Linked DNA regions of Lonchura striata. The protein of the gene in region 1 interacts with the protein of each later gene in a pairwise test. Links are inferred from orthologs where the notes say so. Each region holds a gene or a part of one and is shown in the gene's direction. Other genes may lie near its edges.

What was found.
Region 2: the proteins of FKBP1B (region 1) and RYR2 interact in binary tests that used the Homo sapiens proteins (3 or more experiments, as listed by UniProt). The link is inferred for Lonchura striata from reciprocal best matches to the Homo sapiens genes FKBP1B and RYR2.

Annotation. Positions count from the first base shown.
Region 1 is NC_134605.1:106,842,381-106,850,324, forward strand, and holds the start of FKBP1B (peptidyl-prolyl cis-trans isomerase FKBP1B), read left to right. Parts: upstream 1-4,940; 5' UTR 4,941-5,038; coding exon 5,039-5,075; intron 5,076-7,944. UniProt on the Homo sapiens protein: Has the potential to contribute to the immunosuppressive and toxic effects of FK506 and rapamycin. PPIases accelerate the folding of proteins. It catalyzes the cis-trans isomerization of proline imidic peptide bonds in oligopeptides.
Region 2 is NC_134605.1:45,947,408-45,955,151, forward strand, and holds the start of RYR2 (ryanodine receptor 2), read left to right. Parts: upstream 1-4,742; 5' UTR 4,743-4,855; coding exon 4,856-4,903; intron 4,904-7,744. UniProt on the Homo sapiens protein: Cytosolic calcium-activated calcium channel that mediates the release of Ca(2+) from the sarcoplasmic reticulum into the cytosol and thereby plays a key role in triggering cardiac muscle contraction. Aberrant channel activation can lead to cardiac arrhythmia.

The DNA of each region.
Region 1 (7,944 bases):
GCATAATTTCAATTCAGCAAGCTGCCTTCAAAGGAGTAGGCAGTGAAGCGATATCACTGCAGCAATCTGCATGTGTGCTAATTAGTCTGGATGGATGTTGCAATTTCATATTTATATTGCATCTGAGGTGCTAGCTAGTGTATTAACCACTTTGAAGCATTATGCATTGCAAGTTGATTTAAGATCCTGCAGTCAATGTTGGAATTGTGGTTAACCTCACTACCATTTTTTCATTTCCTTCTCCATGTTGCATGAAAAATATTACAGACTCATACATCAGTTTAGGGGAAGGGATCTTTGAAGGCCATATGGTTCAATTTCTTGCTTGGAACACAGCTGACATCAGTTTGTTCTGGTTCCTTTAGGCCTTGTTTGATAACTCATCTTCTGAAGATTTTTTTATCCATATATACTCAGAATTGCCCTTGCTATGACTTGTGTCCATTGCTTCTTGTCCTTTTGTTGGGCATCTCTGAGCAGAGTGTGATACCATCCTCTCCACCACCTGTTCGACAGTTGTAGACAGTAACTGAGATCCTTCTTCTCTCTGTCTTCTGCAGGCTGAAGAAGACAGAGCTTCCCAAAACCAGCTCCCTCCTTCTCTCCATGTTCTCCAACCACTAAAAACATTGGAATGGCTGGGCTTGCTGCAGTATGTCCTTGTACTGGGGAGACAAGTATGTGAGACTATGAGTCTGTCTAAATTCATGTGGTTTTGGAAGTGATTGCATTAATCTCTTCTGGAAGCAAGCTTCATTATTAAGATGTTGGTCTAGTGGAATTTTTACTTCCATTCCAGAACTTAACTAGCAATTTCTTGACTCTAGTAGCTGCTGGCATATATCCTGATGAGCTGGAGTCTTCCCTGTGCATACCTGAGGTTACCTCACCTGGTCCTGTAAAAGGCTTTGAAGATCAGGTCTGAGACCTTAATAATGACTCACATATAAGTGTTGTGAGAGAATATGTGAACATCTGAGTTGAGAAGAGCTTGGTGAGAGAGGTGGTGGCTTTCAAGGCAGTTTTAGTGCTACTGAAAAAATCCAGCTGCAGTTTGCACTCAGAGCTACACCTGCAAGATGAAACTATAGATACAGATGTGGATAAGTAGTTCAAAGAGGAAGATGAGGATTCAGAATAATCACTTCAGGAGGAAATGTTATTCCATTTTGGGGCATTTGGAACAAGTATCAGTTGGGAGGAGGTGACTGTGCTGCAGACCTGTGGTAACCAGCAGTGGTGAGAAGTGAGACAGGCACAATGAGATTTTTGGGTTTCATCTGTTAATCACATGGCTGTCACTGTGGGTGTGCTGTCAGACTTACCCTAAGCATGTGCTTTGAGAGGAATCATGGATTCTGGCTGACTCTCTTTTGTCAATGCTCATGATGCACAGGAACATTCGCAGTGACATGACCTGCTGAGCTCTGCAGGCTGCTATTTTTTTGGTCAGGATTTTTTCCAGTGAGGTGCTGTTTTTGCATGACCTGTACACTTTGGGATTAAAATTACTTGGTTGCACATGTTGGTTCACTGAATGGAAAGGTCAGTATTGGTAACACATTTTTAGTTTGTTTTCACTATTCATATCACACTGGTTGGATTTCAAAGCAATGCTGGCTTTTTATCCATGGATGCTGGTGAGGGAAATGTGCATTCTTGGGGGTGTTTTGTGGCCTCTGTGAATTTTTACATTTGCAGAATTTGTGCTTTCCATTTATGGAAAATTTAGTGCTTTGCCTTCCAGGGGTGTTCTTTGTGTGCATATGGAATCTATTACACATGATTTGTAGATGCTTTGTAGATTTTAAAAACAATGAAGAATGGGATTTCACAATATAGGAGCTATGAACAACGTTAAAACACCCTAAAAAATTTGAAAACTGTTTGTCTTCCTAAAAGTGGAAATGCATAAATATTTTGTAAACAGTGCTGGCTGTAGGGGTTTTAACTACAAAAAAAAAAAAACAAAAAAACAAAAAAAACAGGGATGGATATTCATCTGCTAAACTTTGAGGTTTTGGGTTTTTCTCATAATGACTGTGGCAAATTGTCCTCTTTGTGACCACTGAGTAATCTTAGATGTTGAAGTCATGTGGTTCTATCAAAATATTTGGGAATAAGTGTTGAGAGAGCCCTCCACTTTTCCAGCCTGGTCTTTCTGGTGCCAGGATAGAAAAACATGCTGTGGGAAGGTCTTGTGGTAAACAACTTGGAACGTGAGCTCTACAGAGCTTTGGAGAGAGAGACTACTGGACTTAGCCCTTGAAACAGATACACTGGATCCCAAAGGTGGTGCAGGTGAATGACATGCAATGACTTTCAAAGAGCATTCTTAATACACTAATCTGGTCTGCTTTGATAATCTGATTTTATCAATTTTCTTGGTCATGAACTTTCCCTCTTAGTCCCTTTGTCCTTTCTGTTTCCCCTCCAATTCCCTGCCAGTTTTAAACCACATTTTCTTGTATTTCAGAGCCTTTCCTGAAGATGTGGGCATTCCTCATTTTAGTCTACTCTTCCTAGATCTTCATGTGCTATAGACTTGTTATAGCATGTATTTAAGGATCTCGATGCCTCCAGTGAATACTGTGAGGGGAAAAATAACTTTATTTTTGGTTCAATATCTGTGGTGTCAAAGATTTTTTAACATATTCATCCAACAACTTTGATATGCTTTCTACAGATCCTTATTTTCTGTCTTGGAAATTGGCCTTACCTTTCTTTCCATAGTCTTGGGAAAATGAGTGTGGGGGATCTAATTAACTCATGCCCTAAAGAAGCATTTACAGTCTCACCATGGGGCAAGAGGCTATCGGATAGGAAGATTGTAGATACAACATTTTCCACAGCTTGGTCCCTCCTAATCCCATTTTGTGGCTTCTGAATTTTGCTGTTGGTGGCCTTTGCTTTTTTATTATGATTGTCAGTCTGCCTGAGTATTCTGTGATCTGCCTTTAAGGCCTGGTACTTATGATGAAACTTGAAGGAGATATTCTGTGATCCCATCTGAACTATGTCTATTATGTGATTAGGTCCAATCTCCTGTCACAAGACACAACTTGAGAAACCTATTCTCCCATTGTGGAGAGATGTGTAGCCTGATCAAAGGAAACATGCAATTATAAAAGCTAAAGTGAACACAGCAAAGAATCATTTTCTTTTGTTCATTGCATTTATGCCTTCTGATGCTCTGATCATCTGAGAGGACACAGACATCTACCTGGAGCCTGGATGAAAGCAGTTCTTTCTTGTAAAGTCAAGAGGGGGTGTAAGACACCATGTACCTAGAATTTCCCTTTATAACTCCCCTTATGTGCTCAGCTTTTCTTGTGCTGTCCTTGTTGCTTTGTAATGACTCAGAGGCACCTCTGGAATTAGCAATGTTCATGTGTTAAGACACATGTTTCTGTGCCACTTACCTCCTACCTGGCATTTTCCTATTTCTCAAATGCATTTTTAGTATCTTTCTACTGATCAGAAGTCAAATGACACTCTGAGACTGGCAATGGAAAAGAATCCCGTTTCAGAATTTCCACTGTTACAGACCTCCTCTGATAAACTTCAGTAAGTGCCTGCTTATTCTGTACATGCTACCTGCAGATGCAGAATTCACTGGAATGGGAGGCAGGTGAAAGGAATCCATGTTCAGCCCTCATTACTGCTTCTGAACTCGCGTGAGCTCTTGATTTTCCTCACCTGCCCATTTTTGGGAGTGAGAGGCAGCCAGTCCTGGTATTTCAGAGTATCTGACCCACAAAGAAAGATAGATACAATTGAGCACCCAGGAGAAGAAACAGTCTGATCAGAGTAATGTGAAAAGCTGTGTGGAGATGGTCAGTGTAGTTCAGAGCATGCATGCAAGAGCAAGGGCCACATTATTGCAGTTACGAACCAGCACAGTAATTCCTCAGTTCAGTCATCCTGACAACTGCCCACACAGAGAAAGATCCTTTTCCCTGAAGAGAACCCAGTTTGTAGCAGATAAAAATCTTGAAAAAGCAATGTCAGAGAAGTGCAAGTTGGAATTAGATGGATACAGACAGCTCTTTCAGTTGAAAAACTGATGACGTTGTGGTTCCATTTTTATTTTTAACTCAGAAAACACAGAACTGCAAACAGAACTATTCCTTTAGAGGCAGTGGAAACTCCTGAGATTCGAATACACTGTAAGTGCATGAGGAAATAGTCTGTTTCAGGTACATTCCCCAGAAGTAGTTGTAGCAAGGTTGAATATGTAATCTTACATCATGGGAACACCACACATAAATAGATTTTCCAGTTTAAAACATGGATATGAATAGGAACTTAGACACTGTTTTACACTGAAACTCAAGGTCATGCCAGCCTGCTGGAGACTTGCCGCTGCTGCTGCTGTGTGGGGTCACCAGCGGTGGGTACCACTGCCCCGATGCTGCCGTTCACCGGTAGAACCGGGGGGACATTCCCTTCAGCGCACACGTCGTGCGAGCACGGATGCCTTCCTCCATGGCTCTTTGTACCGGGAAATTCCGACCCTCCACTCGCACTCGGCCGTGTCCTGGTGTCTGGACGGGCTGAAGCACGGCGCTTGGTTTCCCTGTGTGGCCAGCGCGCCTGCAGCAGTACCGCACCGGTACCCCCTGCTCCCGCAGCCGCCCTGAGCCCTCCGCCGCTCGGACTGCGCACGGGCACGGGCACCGGGGGGAAACGCCGGCGAGACCCCCGGAGGAGCGCTCCGCCGGGCACCATCGCTAAAGCCAGCCCTGCCCGAGGGATGGCAGCAGCACCCTCCGCACGGCCGTGGGGCGGGGGAGCGATGCCGGCGGGGGATGCCCCCGCCGCAAGGTTCCCCTGGTCCCCGCGGCCCCCGGGCGCTCGGAGCGGGGGCGGGCGGACCCCTCCCCTCCCCTCCCCGTCCTCCCCGCCCCTGCCCCGCATTGGCTGCGGGCGCTGACGGGCAGCCGGGGCGGCCCCTGCCCGCGGCCGCCCAGGGGCACTGCCCGCACTGGGGGTCCGGCCGCGCCGGGGAGCGGGGCTGAGTGGAGCCGGTGCCGCCATGGGGGTGGAGATCGAGACCATCTCTCCGGGAGACGGTACGAAGCCGTGCCGGGGGCAGCCCCGCAGCGCGGGGACGGAGGGTCCGGCCGGACACCGCGGGGCTCCGGGAGCGAGGGAGCCGCGTCCCCGCCGGCGGCGGAGCGGGGAGCGCGGGGAGCGCGGGGAGCGGGCGGGCGGGAGGGAGGCACGGCCGCCCCCGCAGCGCCGCGGGCACGAACCCCCGGTGCGGGAGAGGCGGAGCGCGGCCAGGCGCCCGCCCGGGGTCGCGGCGGCGGCAGCGGCGGCGAGGGGGCCGGGGTTCCTGTGGCATCCGCTGACAGCTGCACGGCCCGAGCGCGGGGTCAGCGCCAGCGCCCGGCGGGGAGCCCAAACTTTCCCCGGTGGCGAGCCCGGCCTCGCCGGGGCCACCGACCGTTCGTGCCGGCATCCCCCGGCAAGGAGCCGCCGCCTCCCGGTCCAGCGTGGGATGCTGGCGAGGGCTGATGTGCAGCCCGGGTGGCAGTCACCTCTCCTTGGCGCTTGGCTTTCGTGAGCCAATTCGCAGTGTTCTACTCTTCCTTGGCATTATAATTCCGTAAGGTTTTTGTGTTTTGTTTTTTGTTTTTTTTTTTTTTTTTTTTCTTTTAAGATAATGTGATTTCTAACATACAAATGTAGCTATATAATAGGCCAGATTCATCACTGGCTGATATGCAACCATAAATAATTTGTTCAAGTTGATTGCAGATTAAGTTTCTTGGCCCAGTATCTTTCCATTCTTTGTGTATGCTTTCTAATTGGCTTCTCCCTCTGTGCTGTTTTGCTCTAGAGATCGAATTCTTCTCTTGGTTTCACAGATGTAAAAAAAGAATACTTATACCCACATAAATAATGGTGGTGAGTTGGGAGTAGGAAGGAGGATGGAACTACCTCACAGTAGTACTTACTATCTATTAAATAGATCACGGCTGTCATTGTAAGTAATATGTGATTCCAAATAAGGCTATATGGATTAGTTCTCTTGGTTGCAAGTCTTAATCAAAATCAGCTGACTTTAAACACTGTCTTAAGCCACAGTGAGTCAGTGGTCTTGCGAATCTCTGCTTTTAATTTATTTTTGATGTGAAATTATGTAGCTTCATTGGCTTTGCTGATGGTAAACTCACAGAGCAGAGTGTGTGTCCATAAGGTCTGAAACTGCTTTTCTCAGATCTCTGTATAATAGTGGATCATTTTAATAATACCTGTTTTATTGGCGGTAGGATTCATCTCACATAACTTTTCTCAGGTTAGTTGGCTAGTCTAAAGCAGTCTTCTGGGTTTTCTCTGTGGCCATCTCGAGGGAATAATTTGTCTTGCCTTCCTTTGGATAGGCTGGCTTTCTCTCAAAGCACTGCTAATTCTTTGCTGTCAATAGAGGAAGCCCAGGAGACTGGCATGCGATAGTTGCCCGTGGTTTAAATGGCTGTGAATTTAAAAGAGATGGATCCCACTTTAGCATACCATGGTGACCTTAAAAGATTCCTGCTGCATTTTGTGCAACGTGCAATAAGGGATATTCCAGCCAGCCAAGCCAATGAACAAGGCTGTTCAGGTAGCCCTTAGAAGTACCACTTTATCAATTTTTGTGTTGTAAATCTTGGTTCATCATATTATCCTGCCCTTCACCACTTATTGCTCATGTGGTTTTGGCATGTGATCCCTAAGGCCATAGCTTGTGTGCTACCTGCTGGTTTATACCCTTTGAAGTGCTCTGTAATGCAGAACTTGTTATCATGTTAATTTTGACCAAACAGCCAAAAAGCCAACTAAGAGATGAGCCTCAGTTTCATAGAATCACAGAATGGTTTGGTTGGAAGGGACCTTAGTGATCATCTCCTTCCAACTCCCCTGCCATGGGCAGGGACATGTTCCACTAGACCAGGTTGCTCCAAGCCCCATCAATCCTGACATTGAATGTTTCCAGAGATAGGGCATCCACAGCTTTTGTGGACAACCTAACTCAATCCCCAGTTTTTAACTTTCTATCAAGGATGTTCCTTAATAATTAACCACACTGATATTTTTAATTTCTTCTGAACCTGGGCACTCCCCTGGCCAACCTTGAGAAATCATGGTTAGTATCTTTAATACACCATTGGCACCTAATTGAGCCTTGAGAGTCATCCCTTAGGTTTCAGTACCTTTAGCAGTGCCTAGAACAAGTAAAATGGAAATGGTAATTTCATCTTGTGTCAAGCAAATAATTTAAGCTTTTTTTCCTTTCACTATGAACATTTTAGGAGGAGCTATCAAGCTCTTAAAAGAACTCAGTGTACTACTGCTTTACTGTTGCCTGATGCTACAAAATTAAACTGCTTTTGTCTGTGAAAATTTCTGTAAACCCCATTCCTGCTAATTAAAGATGCCCTCACAGAGCTGTCTTTCTTGCGTGGAAGGCATTAGAGATGTGAATACAAATGGATTTTCTCACAATGTCAGACTGAGACTTTATTTGAAAAATTATAGCAAAAACATTCTGAGAATTATTAAAAGTTATAATCCATGAGATTTTGACTGTCCTTTTGCACTTACAGAATGTAAATGCATATGTAATTCACGTGTATATATAGGGAGACTTATCTAGGAAAAATACTACTTGGTCTAAGAGCTAAACACAGCCAAACTGGGACCTTTTGCCCTAAACCATCCCATTCCTGTGTTGCATATTAGTGATTTGGTAACACACAGTCATAGAATCATGCAGTTGTTAAGGTTGGAAGAGACTTTTAAGATCATCAAGTCCAGCCGTCAACCCGGCACCACTACCATGTTCACCATTAAACCGTGCCTTCAGATGCCATATGCGTGTGTGTTCTGAACACTTGAAAGGGTTGTGACTCCACCACTTGCCTGGGCAGTCAGTGTTTTACAACCCAATGCTTT
Region 2 (7,744 bases), about 61 Mb from region 1:
CCATTTATCCATAAAAGTGTGAAATGGATGTATCTTTGTATACATTAGAGTCATATAGTACATGTATATAGTTACATAATGACATAACCCGTTGCAAGACTGAGAAAACCAGGAAATTCTATTTTAAGGATGCAATTTAATGTGCTCTTTTAATTTAAACCAACATTTTTTAGAAACATGTTATTGCCCTCCAAAATGACCAAAAGGCAAAAAAAGCCACCTTCAAAAACCCACTTCTGGTTTGGTGCCTCCCCACAGCTTCCAGGGAATTTATCAGAGTACATCAGAAAAAGATTAGAAGAGCAATAAAAACCTCAAAGGATGCAGGAACATGAAAACACAAGCAAACTATTTTTCCCCAAAAGATAACCTACAAGATCCATACCTCCTCTTTAATCTTAATAATCACCCTCCCTTCTTCCCCTGCCCCCGCCCCGACCCCCCCGATATCAAATAACAAAAAATAAGTTAAAAGCTTTGAACTTTGCCAGGAAGAATGCTTCATAATAGCTGCAGAACAGAAGTTTCTATAAAAGGATAAGCTTGGTTGTCTAAATTTTATTATAACACTGTATCCTGTGTAAAATTGTGCATACAGGCTATTTATAGAGTACAAAACATGTACCTAATGACAGACATGTAATTAACACTTATACTGTACTTTATGGGTTCAGACTAAACACTAACTGAAGAAAATGCAGTATATTATTGAACTCCAGGGTTATCATGACAAGCATATAACTATGTGATCTTAGACATAATTACTCTCACTTAAACTCTGCTAATCTGCAGTAAAATATTTTAAATTTTGTGCAGAATTGGGTCTACTAATTTTATTCTTTCCAAGTCACATTTGGGATCTAAACTGGCATAGATTTTACATTGACTCAGTTTCATTGATCACAGGGTGTTGATTTATGACATGTGATAGGAGATGCAATCTTTCTAGTTTTGCAGTATTTGGAATAACATGTTTGCAAGATTTATATTTGGCTGAAAAGTCTGACAAGACTGTAGAAAGAGCTGTAAGAAAGAGCAGCACCAGGAAGAAAGGATAGTATCTGCCCCTTTAAATTGCTATTGGCATTATCTTATTCTGTTCTTCCAAGAAGAAAAAAGAGTGTGGTAGTATAGTCTGCTATAAAAAACAAATAAACACCTGGGAGTTCCCCTCATGTTACTGAAAACTGAATGTTCACAATACTTATTATTACAAACAGCAAACATTGTTTGTTTTGCATAGAATATTACTTTGAGTTGTGCACACAAAATTACCTATGAACCTTCTTCTAATATTTAATTTAGATCATTAAAATTTATGAAATGAAAGTGCTAAAATTCTTAGTGTAAATTTATGTTCAGTTCAGAATCCTGCTGTGATACCTCAGAAGCGCTGTCATGCTGGTGCTGCTGTACTGCCTCTGCATCACACAAAGAAACCTGGGTTTTTTTGTGAAAATTGCTAAGGGCATATTATGGATCTTCACAGTGCTGCTGCCTTGATAATTGAGGCTTGCAGGAGCAAGAAGGCCTTGCTGAGCAAAGGCAAAATGCACTAAGTATCTGTCGTAGTAACAATTACAAACGGGCATGGACATGTGCAGATTTCAAGTGAGATTTTAAGAAGAACATAACAAGAATGGGACCACAAAAAGTCTACAGTAAGAAGCAGGTTTATTAGGTGGGAGAACTGGACCAAAAATTTGAAAGGCTGCTTCTAGATTGGGTGAAAAAGAAGTAGACATAGTACATGCATGTCATGCAAGACAACTGGATGGCTTACAAAACATAAACTAGAGCTGAAAGGGAATGCTAATTTTCTTGTGAAAACTTTTTGTTAAGCTCCAGAGGTTGTGTTCAAGCCTTTAAATTCATAAACTAGTACAGGATTCTTTTGACAGAAGTAGAAACTTTTGTTCTGCATTTTTTCTGTGGAAAGCACAGTTATCAGTGATAAAAATCGCCAGACTTATGGAAAACAGGGGGCGTGATGAGATGTAATAGAGACTAAAGTAACAGTGGGGAACTCAAAGTGAATTGCTATGGGGTTTACTGGCGTCTTGAACCTTGGGACTGCCACTCCTAGAGCAGGGACCCCTGTTCTTCCACACCCACACAAAATATTCAATTCTTCTGAATTCCACCTGTAAATATCAGCCATGGAGAGTGTTTATTTTTTCCACATTTCCCACTAGTTCATTGAAGAAATAATTCTGTGAACTTTATATTACTTCCTGTTATGATAGAAATGATAATGTTTTTCCATTTTTAACCATTATTTTCCATTGTTTTAACCAATCAGTTGCTTTTAATTATTCAATGCAGTTAAACATAACTTCTGAGAAATACATCACATCAGCTAAAATGCTGGAACTATATTTAATATGTATTTTTGCACATGTGTACTGCACATATGAATATTTGTCCTTGATGACTAATTTAACAAGAAGCTTCCATCTACATTATGCCTTATCACCCTGTTCAGGAAGTTTCTGGAGGAATCTTTACTACTTTTAAACTTTGTTTCCTAAGCAAATTATCTAATATGGTGCATGTGTCTCTGCTACTGAATAATATCTTTTGAACTAAGTGGAAAATTCCAACAATTTCACGGAAGGTTAATAGTATCATACATGCTCCTAGCCATTTCATTAGAACAGATGCATGGGTAAAGAAGATACCAGATAACAGTCTTTGGTGTCTGAAAAACTGCAGCATACATTTCACTCATATTAGACACCAAAAAAACTGTGTGTTAGAGAAATATTACTGCCCTAGCATGGAGAAGATTAATGTGAAGTTGTTGTCTTTGTAAACACCAAGGAGTCTAATTATGAGCTCCAAATCTATAAGAAACCAGGTATGATCAGTTCAACTGTTCTTGGAATGATTTCCAAGATGACATAATGTGCTGAAAACTACAAAATGTTTCAGGCACGGATGTTATATTGAACTAATTACAATTTTTTTTCTTTCCTTTCTCTATAATGTCCTTGCTTTACATGCAGCAAACAAAAAAGGCATTTAATCTGATACTCATATTCATAGCCTTATGGAGAGTACCCTGGATGTTCTATGATCCAGACCTTTGACCAGGTGAACTGAGATTTCCAACCATATGAAATACATTGACAAATAGTTGTGCTGGAACTGACTTGTGTGCTGAGCAGGAGAAAGAGATAGGATAGTATGATAAAAGATAATTTGTTCAGTGCCTTTTCATGAAATCTAATTTTTTAAACTTATCCAAATTCAGGACTTCATAATTGGGGTCTATTTCAATAAATATCTCTCAGTCTAAATAATTTAGAGAAGAGATACTTAAGAGGTTTGAGTTAAATATGAATAAACAACATCAAAAAATGTCTTTATAATTCTTAAAAAAAATATACTTTCAGTCAGTAGTAGTCTTGAGAGGTAAAAGTCACTTGAAGTCAGTAGTAACTGAAACCAGGATATTACAGAGGAAATGCTTAAGCTGTCATAACTCTGGAGTTCATCTTCAGAATCTCTATATTAAACATTCATACATTACTTGCTCTAGAGGTCTTATGGGTCATGACTGCTCTTGCAGTTTCCAATCTGTCAGATGAACACGTTTTCCATTGTTGGAAATAATGATAAAATCTCAGAGTGCCACGCTTTTTCACGATGTCCTTGAACAGCATAAAGTTACAGATTATGGGTATAGCTTCTCTAGAAGCACTTTCCATGTATTTTGCAATGCTAGTCATACAGTCTGTTTACCAAAATAATTGAGATTTCATTACGTTTACCAGTTTTGGTCCTTCGGAAGCCTTCTGCAGTTGTACATCTCGCACACATTTTACTCTGTCAATGATCCAGTGTTAATTTTACTCTTTTTTGAGATACCCTGTTGTCCTCCCCTCATGACTATTGCATTGCACTAGCAGAGGCTCTCTGCTATACGCTTGTTTCAGAGTGCTGTTGCTGTTAGGAGTCTGGTGGCTCTCTGGCTTGTCAGACTTCTTTCTGTAGGCCAAGCATCATGTCTCTGATGGACATAGGTGTCCTCTTAAAAGTATGATCTACACGAATGCTCATGAAAGATGAGCCATTCCCTGGCAACCCTTGACTTCACCCTATGGAAAACGCATGGTATATATTCTTCAAGGAAATTAGATTTCAAAGCCTTACATTCACCCTGGGTTAAGCTCATTCACGCGACGGTTCAAGTACAACACCGGGTGAAGCCATGTTGTACCTTCCATCTCTTCTCCCCGACAGTAGTCGGCTGACAAAATAACCGGCGCAGAGCCGTTCAGCTCTCGCTCTCCCGAGGTATCCCTCAGTGCAGCACGTCACGCCTAACTCCTGCGGGACAGCCGTGCCCGGCAGCCAGGGCGCCGAGCGGCCGCCCTGGAGACTCCGGAGGGGCGGAGGCAGCCCCAGGCTGTGCCGTGCGAGGTGAACGGGCACGGCGGCTGGGGCAGCGGCCCCGGGCGGGCGGCAGCCGCCTCCCGGCGGAGCTCCGGCAAGGGGCGCTGGGCGGCGCCTTTGGAGTGCGGAGGGAGCGGGCTGCGGATCACCTGCAGCGGCGGGGGGGCCGGAGCTCCGCCTCCCCTCCTCCCCCGGTTAATCGCATCCCCCTCCCCGCGGCAGGCACAGGCAGCCGGGCAGCGCTGTCGACCTGCGGCAGGCGCACGGGCACCCGCACCCCGCTCGCAGCCGGGGCCGGGCTGGGGCCGCCGGCTCTGCCGCCCTCGCACTGCCCCAGCCCGGTGCGGCGCGGCCGTGACCCTCCTGCCGCCGCCAGCCCGCGGGGAGCGACCGCCGCTGCCGCCCGTCCGGGCACCGGGAGCAGCGCCCGGCAGAAGGAGAGACAGGGGCAGCCATGGCCGAGGGGGGCGAGGGCGAGGACGAGATCCAGTTCCTGCGAACTGTAAGCGCCGCGCTTGCCTCCCTCCCCTCCGCGCTGTGGCGGGGCTCCGGGCGGGCCGGGGGCTGCGGGGGCGACGCCCGGACCGGCTGGGGTGGGAGCCGGGCGGGGGCAGCTCGGAGCGGCTCCGCAGCCCCGAGCCCGTCCCTCTCCGCCGGCGGCGTGTGGCTCCGCAGCCGGGCGGGGGCCGAGGGCTGCGCTGGCCCCCGGGATGAGCGGCAGGGCGGGCGGCCGGGGGCGCCGGGCACGGTGAGGGGCGGCGGGCGGGCGGGGGCGAGCGGCGCCTCCCCAGCAGCACCGCTCCGCGCTGCCGCCCCGGCCGCGGGCGGTGCGCTGCTGCGGATACTGACCGAGCAGCCGTCCCCAGCGCGAAAACTGCGATCGCACTCCCTTTGCAAAAATTGGCTTGTGGAAAAAACCCACCTCTCTCACCCTGTCCCCTCCCCGCGGAGGTTCCCACTAACTTGCAGGCGTTCTCCTCGCCGGGCACAGACTAATACGGCTTTTTCTGGCGTGCGCATCCTTTCGTTACTTCTGTCCAGGGCATGTTAAGGCGCTAGAGCGCTTCTTCCTTCCGTTTAATTAATGCATCGGGACTGCTGCATCTAATGCTTATCTGGATTATATTTCTTCAAGCAGTGATTTTATTTATCTTCTCGGCCATCTCCCGAGTGCCGTTTATATGCACAATCCTAGCAAGTTTTGCAGATAGGCATCTGCATCTAGAATGGTGGTGGATACAAACCGTGCCACAGTTTGAGGAAAAATTGCTGAGACATTTGTTAAGTAGAGCTGGAAGCACTGAGACTGTAGGATAAAGCTTAACTTCCCTTTTATTTAGTGCTGTCTGATTTAGAAAACGTTCACGTTCAATGGCTTGTAAGAAAATACATCTACAAGGGGGTGGAAAGAAAGCGACATAGTATATGTGAAACATATTCATATGCTGTTTGCAGCATTAAGAATCCTGGTTCTCAGTTGTCTTCCATTTCTATCAGAAACCGCACAATAATAGATGTGTACCTTAACATTATTTTAAAAAATTTTTGAAGAGTCTTAGAAAATCTGCTTTTACAGAAAATACAGCTGTTACGCAACGTTGTCATGAAGATCGACAACTTTTTTTTCCTGTCAGCATTATGTGACTGGTATTGTAGTGTTGCCTAACACCTAAAAACAAAACAGAAAAATATTTCTGTGAAAGAAAATTTGTCGTCTCGATTCATGAGAGGTTTTTTTTTTTTTATTAATAGTTTTCACTGGTAAAAAAATTTTGGAAGAGTTGTACCATGGCAGCCTTTCTGCAGACATGAATGTTAAGCTTAGTTCATGTTATCTGAATGCTTAATAGGGAAGGAGAAGCACTGAGCATGCTAATACAGCTCAGCAGATCTACAGTGATGTTAACTCCAGCACCTGACAGCAGCAGCATGTTATGTAAAACAGCACTCCTGATAATGTGTGAGGCTTGATACAAATTTGGCAAACCCAGTCTTAGATAATACTTGAAAATGTTTAGAATGTTGCACCAGTGGTAAAATGACCTTGAATGTGGTAAACTGAAGCTTTGGGGAGGCATGTGGTGTGGTTTAATCAAAAGGGCCTGAGAAACCTGTTTCATGTGAAGTTTTGGGTTTATAATCTGAAATGGTATGTAAGCAGTGATTTTTACTCTTCTCTTCCTTCCACTTTGTCCAAGTTATGAGCATTACTTGGAAAAGCCAGTGCTTTCAGACTTTTTTTTTTTGATGTAGTCTTCCACCTCTCAATTGTTAGAAGGCTTTGATTTGTGGTCTCTAAAGCTATTAGATGTGTGTAACTTTCTGAAGGCCGTTGGTAGAAAGCACTGGAAATTTGATATTACCCTGGTAATTATTACAGTTTTTATTTATTTTTAAAATACTAATTAGGGGTAGATGGATTCATAAATGTTTTGTAGATAAACAAGAGCTTTTCAAAGAACACTGTATGTAAGCAAAAAGCATTCTGTGCTTTCAATACTTTGAGGATGACATCTGTAGGCCTACTACATGTAAACAATGCTCTTCATATTTTCTTCTTTTGGTAGGACCTGATAAACTTCCTAGAATCTTTAGAGTCTACCCTGGAATGTAAACACTATTTTTTTAATGTTTAGAATTGCACATGAGATTTTATTCAATTAAAAATGCCCTTTATTTGCATGGAGCTACTAAGTTGAATTTGTATTTTTGCTACATGTTGATTGGAAATTTTGATTTTTCTCTTCTCTTCACACATTCTTATCTGTCTAATGATTCCTCTTCTTTACTTGCTGCTATTTTTTTCCCCCTGGTTTGGTTTTGTTTTGGTAAAGTGGAATTAAGCATTACTTCCTGCAAATTCTGCTGCTAGGATGGATTTCTGTTTCTTTTGGGAATAATTTGAGATTGATACATCGCTTCTGAGATGTGAACACAGCCTCTTAATGCCCTGTATTTCTGGAAGCATCAGAGCATTGTTTGGGACAACTTTAGACAGACTGGAGCTCATCTCTGTGCTGTTCAGTTCTTCTCAAGGAACTCTTCTGTAGTCCTGTGAATTACTTGCTTCTCTGGAATCGGGGATCTTCCTCATTAGTTTGCCAAATGCTCCAGGTGGAGAGGAACTTGTATTATGTGTGGCCTTATTTAGGACATACATTCTCTTGACTTCTCCCATGGAATAAACCCGTACTGTGCAGGAGAAGTGAAGGGGAACAAGTATCCTGCTGTGTGTGTATTAGTTATGTGTCCAGGCAGGACCTCCTCCCTGTAGGGGAATTTGTTTTTTATTTTATAATACTAGAAAGATCAAGGATATGTGTAACATAGATTTCACTGTTTA